Linked DNA regions of Oryzias latipes. The protein of the gene in region 1 interacts with the protein of each later gene in a biochemical or structural test. Links are inferred from orthologs where the notes say so. Each region holds a gene or a part of one and is shown in the gene's direction. Other genes may lie near its edges. The genes, in order: mitogen-activated protein kinase kinase kinase 11 and mapk8ip1.

Region 1 (3,825 bases):
TGCTACTGGAAGTCAGAACTAAAAGCAGAACCTGCCTCAGAAACTCTTTATTTGAAAATCTGATTCTGAAGGACGCCTTGTTTTGAAAAACTACCGGTTTCTCTCCACCACGTCCACGTCAAGTCGCTCGGCCACAAGTCAAAAATCCAACCGCTACGCTCTTAAAGAAGTTAGCAAAGTTAACAAACAAATGTTTCAGCAAAGTTTCTTTTAGCAGAAAAGGAAACAGAAGAAGACCCTTTGACTTCAAAATAAAAGAAATCTTTACTGAGACTTTACTGAGACCATGGAATTATTGGGACATTTGTTCCCATAAACCATTATGGATGCTGCTAATAAAGTTGTTTTTATCTTCCACTTTTTATGGGTCACGTTCAAATGGCTCCTACACAAAATCTATAGTACAAATAAAGTTTAAAGATATTTGACAGAGAATGAAGGTAAACTTTAACCTCAAAAGCTAGAAGACAAAATCAGACGCCTGGAACTGGCCAGTCCAGGAAAATGTTGTCTGACATGAAACCGGCCCACGGCCTGAATACGGTTGTGGACCACTGCTCTGCATTGTAGAAGAAGAAACGTGACAGTAGAATGACTGTATTCTTTTTCTTTCCATCCTTTTTGCAGATTTCATCCATAAAATCACAGTGCAGGCCTCCCCAGGCCTGGAAAAGAGGAGGAACTCTCCGGATTTGGGTTCGGGCTCCTCGCCTTCCTTCGGCCCACGTTTTCGCGCAATCCAACGTGAGTCCGGATCTCATCATGCGGACTGACTTTACAGGACTGAGTGCTTCAATTCGAAGGTGGAGATGCGTGTAGAAAGCTGTGGCAGCAGAGCTTGGATGACCGATTCTTGATCTGTTCTCTCAACCACCCACTCGTCTTTTGTCTCCCATCGTTTCCTGCTGGGCCCCACGCTCCCCGTCTCTTCCCTCCCTGCTCTGTCCCTCTCTCACACACCCTTTTCCCTTTCAATAGTCCGTTCCAGTCCAAATATTATCTGACTTCCTCTCAGCCCTTTTTTCCATTTCAGACCCCCTTTGCTGCTCCTGTGTGCAGTTCCCTGACTGCAGCAGCAGGGGGAGACATGTGACCGCGGGACTCGGGCACGAACGGTTTCATAAGCCTGCAGCAGCGGTGCGGTTGACTGAATTAAAAATAAGCAGGGTGGAATTCATTGCTGTGTGAGATGGGGTTAAGAAGGGTTGCAGCGGTCACACAGATTTACAATATCTCCTCTGCTTTTTTGCCGGGATCTCACAGAAATGTCCCCAGGTCCTTCTGTGCAGCGGGGATTCTCCACAGTGCCTCCTAACAAAGGGACAAAAGAAATTTGTCGTGTAGACGCAGGCAGTAAAAGGGATTTGACAAAATGGAGCAGAAAAAAAAAACAAGAGTGCAGTTTGTAGAAGTAAATGCCAGACATCGGCCGGCCTTGTGAGGTAGCAGGCTAGTCTTCCGCACTTCCTAATGACTCTCCTTAATGGCAGTCACTAAGCCACGAGTGCGCCTGTCATTAAAATGTGTTTAGTGGATATTTATGCTTGCCCTCATAGTCGCATGCAGTGATTTATCTTCGGGGCTTACCAAACATATTTGTCTTGGGAACTGCCAACTTGATTAGCAGGAGTTTGCTGAGCTCAGTTCCATTGTACCACATTCTGCTAAATTAGATAACAAGAAAATGCTATTTTTATGGAATTAATGGACCCAGAGGTTGTATTAGTTAGCACATTTTGAATCCCAGCTGGCCTGCTGTGTCATATGCGTTTGGCAGCATATAGATGTTTCTCCCGATTATTTATTTATTAACTTCCTGTCTGCGCGGGCAGGATTAGATTCAGTCGGTTCCTCTTTATTTAGACCTGCTCCCGTTCGTTTTTCCTGCTGCCAAACCCAAGAGGACAGAAACCCAAACAGACCAAAGAGCTGCAGTCATTTTTGTCTGGTACGACAGAACGATGCAAGTGCCCTCAAGTGGACCGCCGTCACCCAACGATATTATCACACTTATCTGGTCATGTGATCAAAAATCAGGCCCAAACGGATGTTGTATCCCGATCAGGGATTGGAACGGTATTTTATTCTCAATTTTATGATCAGCGCCACATATTTCACGCTTGTTATTACAGATGAATAGAAGTCTGCACACTGCGAACAGATCGCAACATTTTATTACTGGAAGCCACAGCAGGAGGCACGTTAAAAAAAAGAGTTACGGGCTCAATACCTCCAAACCTGGCTTGTCTCAATGCTACCTAGGGATGTCCCGATCCGATTCCGAGTCATTGGATTTTGAGTATGGATGGATACCGAGTCCTGATACTTTTGTAACACATTTGATCAATTTAATAAACAGATGCAGGTTTGACCTATTTTTCTTTATTAACCTGCTTTTAACATTTAAAATCTTTAACAGAGCCCTACTTTGAAGCAGCCGCAACAATCAAGTAAGAATAGTTCAACTATATCAACTAGTAGTTAACTATCACCTAGTAAAAACTGGTGATAATAATTAGTCATGTGAGAAAGTTTGACTGAAGCTTCGTATCTTCTGAACTATTGGACATTTTTGATCAGATGCAATTTATATCTCCATCAAAAATCTTAAAAATGAACAAGGATTTTCGTTGTTCTAGAATAAATACGATGATGAATTTTCATGACTACCCGTAGCTCAAATCAATGGAAGACTTTTTTAGTTTTGGTTGTTTTTTTAGAGAATATGGGATTCTTTGTTTTAACCTCTTCAGACCTGGCATCAGCATGCAGGAACATCACGCTATAGCTTTTATTAGCACAGTAGGTCCTTCTGGCCTTAAGGGGTGTAGATACCGCAGCGTCTCACTGGGTCTCCGTCTGTCGCAGCACCAGAGAGCCGTTCTCCTCACAAAGAATCAAAAAGCTCATCTTTGTTCTCCTAACATGTCTGTGTTTGCGTTAACACGACCCAATAGAGACACTTGCTGATCCGGTCGTGATCTACAGACGTCTAGTAGAGGATTTATCTGGAATAAGAAGATGGATCTATAAAGTGCTGGGTCATTATAAGAGTAAATGAAATGTCCCAACCCCATCTTTCATTGAGCCACCAACAACGGCATTGGGTCCAATTTCTGATCACCTGATCCAAGCGGGACATCCCTAATACCTACAGAGGCAATGAAAACATTTTTAATATCATACAAACATTTAACAGAGAGACGACAGTGAGACAGCTGCTGTCTGCAAAGTGCAAACTCGGGAAAAAGTGATTAAAAAAAACGTGCATTCATTTATACATAATGTCTCAAACAACCAAAATGAATACATGTTTACATTGATAGGAGCTAGTCATGAAAACTCATCATATTTGTGCTACAGCAACAATTCTGGAAGAAAGTCATGACTTTTATTTTGTAATAATGTATAATTGATCACATATGATCAATAGTTTGGCCTACACTAATTATTACCTATTTCTACTCATTAATCGCTAACTACATTTTCTTTTTCACAGTTTTGATTTGATTTGAAATGGTTTATTTCAAGCAATCAAAGCAAGAGCAATGCACAAAACAATACAATCAGCACTTTCACATTCATACAAAGACATTAAATCAAAGATTGCTACGGTGCCCTACATCACCAGCGAACTTATATGACCCCACCCCTGTTCTACCGTAACCATTGTCATTACATGATTTATCATATTCCGGTTCTTAACATTTTATCAGACTGAACTAAGAATCCTTAAGTATCAATAAATCTCATGACAAAGATGAAATACTTAATTATTGTATAAAAATGGACATAACTCTATTTTAGAAATCAACATAGCACATC
Region 2 (4,049 bases), on another chromosome or scaffold:
TATGTTAATTGGTATCTCTAAATTAACCTCAAGTGTGAGCGTGTGGCCCTGCAGCAGACTGGGGACCTGTCCAGAGTGGAGCCCACTCCCGCCAAACATTAGCCAAGTTGGCTCCAGCAGTCTCATGACCCCAAAATGGATTCAGTGGGTTCAGAAGAGGGATGGATTAAAAACAAACAAACAGAAGTATCATTTTCAAAATCAACCAGCAAGCCTCTTTGTTTATCCCAAACTATGAGTGAAGCTGATGAATTGTTAAATACATTTGTCTTGAAGAATTTTTAATGCCTTTTTGATTTATAATAAACCCTTTTTATGTGTCATGTTATTGACTTATTATTTGTCTACAGTGATAAAGAGCGATGAATGGATAGAGAGATATCACCTGAAGTTCCTGGGATCAGTTCAAGTGCCCTATCACAAAGGAAACGATGTCCTGTGTGCAGCTATGCAGAAGGTAGATGGGCTGCGTTTGCATGTGTGTCCTTTCAAATTTGAAAAAACTGCTGCATGTCATGTAGAGCAATTCAACCTGCTGAGAGAAACAGATACACAGTTTTAACACTTTTTGAAATCGCCTTTCATATTTTTTAGATCGCCACCAACAGAAGGATGACAGTGAAATACAACCCCCCTTCCTCCTGCATCCTGGAGATCAGTGTCAAAGGCATCAAGCTTGCTGTTCAAGAAGATTACTATGCCTCTGACAGAGTAAGAGTCTGACTATTCCTTCTTTTCTCTAACTGGAATACAGTAGCTACATGATTTTAAGATCTAGATTGATGAAAAGTAATCAAAGGTTGAAGTCAGTTTGTGAAAAAACTGTAAACTGCAAAATCGCAAGACTAAAATGCGAGCGGCAGATTTCGAACCGGCGAGATTTTGCACCACAAAAAGAAGAAAAGGTTTTCAAATATGTATGTATCTCAATCGAGGCAAAAATCCTGGAATATCTTGAAAAGTTCAAGGACTTGAAGGACCAAAAGTTATTCCTGGACATTTTAGGAGTTGAATGGTTAAAATAGCTGAACAATTGTAGGAGTTAAGTGCCCAAAAATGGCGGAAGATACAACAATCGGTGTAATTGTTTTTGCATTCAACCAATAAAAGGATTATATAAAACTGTGTGTGTGTGTGAATATATAATATATGATGTGTGTGTGGGTGTGTGTGTGTGTGTGTATATGCGTTTATGTGTGTGTTGAACAGGTTGTAAAACAGTTTGCTAGTGGCTACAAACCAAAACTACAACTAATGTTATCTTTTACAAACGCTTTAACTTTTCAAGTGTTATTTAAAACACTGTATCATGAACTGAATTTTTATTTTGAATAAGACATTTTAAATAAATTGTATCTAAAAAGGATAATGGCTTTACTTTTATATATTTTGGGGTAGTGTAACATTGAGAACTACGGTGACCCTGAATTGCAAGCCACACCAACAAAATTCTCAATGCAAAAAAATATTAAAGATCCCAACGACAAATAAAAAAGCAAAACAAATAATGATAAGAAAAAAAACACATTACATATTTCGAAACAAATTTACAGAAACCAAAACACAATTCCAAAGAAATGATGAAAAATAAAAAGTGTAAATAATTTTTCGGAATTATATTTGGAAAATAATAAATACTTAATTTCCAGTAATCAAAATAAAATGTCAGAAAAATGAAACACAATCAGAAACGTGAAAAGGTTGGTACTATGGGACTTAGCTGATTGAATGACGATGTTTACGTTTTTTTAAATCTCATCTTCAATGTCCTCATATTGATAAAAGTGTTTTAATAAGTATCTTTGTACTTATCACTTCATTCCAAATTTACATTGATAATAACAACAGAAATATCAAACTCTTAAAATGTTAACTTTTGTCTCTGTTTTTTGTTCTGCTTCCTGGGTCTTGTTTACAGAGTAATGAGGGCAGCCACTTTTTCCAGTTAAAGAACGTCTCTTTTTGTGGTTATCATCCAAAAAACTGCAAGTGAGTAAAAAGCTGTTATATTTTCCAACTCTGCTCTTGTTTTGTGTGCAGGGACATATGCTTCCCACAAGGTGTCAGTAGAATCAAAGGGTGTTTCATGTCTGCAATTGAACCACTGACTTCTGGCTTTTAATTTAAAATGCAGTAAAAAAATCACATTACTGTTGACTAAATTCAACAATTTCCTTGTTCTAATGTCTATTCAATTTATTCTAATTCTACTATCTTTCTTTCTCTCTATTAGATATTTTGGTTTCATCACTAAGCACCCAGCAGACCAGAGATTTGCCTGCCATGTTTTTGTTTCTGAAAACTCCACCAAACCTCTGGCGGATTCAGTGGGGTGAGTACGGTTTTTGACACCTATATGTTCACATTTAAAGCTCTTAATAAATTCTTAATTTTTTCTTAAAAAGTAAATTGTGTGATTTCAAGTTAAATCATTTGATTTGATTTGGTTTTTTTTGTTTTGTTTTTTCCAGGAAAGCCTTTCAGTTGTACTACAAGGAATATGTGGAATTCTCTTGTCCCACGGAGGACATTTACCTGGAATAACTGCGAGGGTGTTCAATGCTGTATCATAGCAAAACAACAAAAGAAAACAACTTACTGATGACGATGATGTGTATTCAACTTTTTTTTTACGACCGATCCCCTGCAGCAGAACCGCTGATCACTGAAGCAAGCGCAGGCCAGGAACTTCTGATTCTCCAGTTAATTTCCTGAATTTAATATGTTGATTTTGGAAAAAGAGGAGCTCATGCTCTTTGCTTGATCTACAACTTGTAAGGCGAGAGTAACATAGAAGTTTCATGGCAGATTACTCCACAAATATTTGGGCTCTTTCATGAAAAAATGCTATTATAGTCAGATATAGTGGTGAAAAATGACTGCAACGCTGAAAGATACTTAACTTTTACTAATTTCTGTTTCTAGAGATGGTCTTTATTAAACCAAACTTCTTAATTATTTAAATATATTTATAGATGTATTTTTATATCTTACTTTATTTTGTTTTTATCATGACTATAGCCCACATCCCTGAAATAAAAACTGGTTGCATTTATTAATTTTGATTTATATTGGTTAACAAGTATTTTCTGTAGCCTCTAAACTGATCTACATTTTTTTTTGTTATGGTCCCTTTTAATATAAAAATAACAAAACTTTAGGAAGTCATCTGAAGAAAGCCATTTTATTCTCATAATGAGAAAACAATGATGCCTGCATGAGGAAATATGCTGCAGGGAGGGCTATGCCTTGTGTAAATAGTTCAGCATTTAAAGTTTATTACAATGTAATGACTCAATATTTGTTGTGTACAAATCCTTTTTGTTTTTGATTGTTTTTTCTTTTACCTTTCAGTAGTCATGAGTAAATGGTTTTGATGCAGACTGAGTCTTTTGTTATCACTGGATTCATTTACAAATGAACACAAAAACCTTTTTTATGATCAAATAGCTCACAACTTCTCTATGTTAGCTTCTGTTCATGTAAAGAAATTTTTTAAGAGAAGTAAAAATTGGGATTTCAGAGTTTTAAAAAAAGTTTAGAAAAAAAGGGTTTATCAGTTCGCATAAATTGCAGTGTCTGACTTTATTTCACGTGTTACTAACAAGGCTTGGAGTTAGCGCAATCACAGTAACGTTTCTTTTAGCTGTATTATTTGGTTTCTTTACAAGGTTGGGAGTTGCAGGTTTTGTAAAAACACAAACACAGCTAAAGCTTTTAAAGTGGCTAATGTGTAGCGTATTAAAAACAAGATCTAAAATTTTTGTAAAATGTTAAAAGCACCAAAGTCTGGCACCCTTTCTACTCTCACTTCCCGCTCTGAAAGTTGTGTGCTGTTGCAAGCAAGCAGCTTGAAAAAGCAAGTTAAGGTTTTACCACAAACACAGGAAGACAGCGGTTAAACCTAGAAACGGTTTCTCACTTAGACCTTAGTTCTGTTTTTAATGCTGGAGATATTATAATGCAGCAAGTGTGAACTGCACTGAAAGAAGGAGCAGATCAAGTTTAATAACTGTATTAACACAGAAGATATTATTATAGAACCCTAT

Evidence for each region.
Region 2: the proteins of mitogen-activated protein kinase kinase kinase 11 (region 1) and mapk8ip1 form a complex in vitro, tested with the Homo sapiens proteins (2 studies listed by BioGRID). The link is inferred for Oryzias latipes from reciprocal best matches to the Homo sapiens genes MAP3K11 and MAPK8IP1.

Annotation. Positions count from the first base shown.
Region 1 is NC_019876.2:27,304,087-27,307,911, forward strand, and holds part of mitogen-activated protein kinase kinase kinase 11, read left to right. Parts: intron 1-627; coding exon 628-744; intron 745-3,825. UniProt on the Homo sapiens protein: Activates the JUN N-terminal pathway. Required for serum-stimulated cell proliferation and for mitogen and cytokine activation of MAPK14 (p38), MAPK3 (ERK) and MAPK8 (JNK1) through phosphorylation and activation of MAP2K4/MKK4 and MAP2K7/MKK7.
Region 2 is NC_019861.2:7,558,114-7,562,162, reverse strand, and holds the end of mapk8ip1 (C-Jun-amino-terminal kinase-interacting protein 1), read left to right. Parts: intron 1-350; coding exon 351-457; intron 458-594; coding exon 595-711; intron 712-1,918; coding exon 1,919-1,989; intron 1,990-2,233; coding exon 2,234-2,332; intron 2,333-2,471; coding exon 2,472-2,544; 3' UTR 2,545-3,387; downstream 3,388-4,049. UniProt on the Homo sapiens protein: The JNK-interacting protein (JIP) group of scaffold proteins selectively mediates JNK signaling by aggregating specific components of the MAPK cascade to form a functional JNK signaling module. Required for JNK activation in response to excitotoxic stress.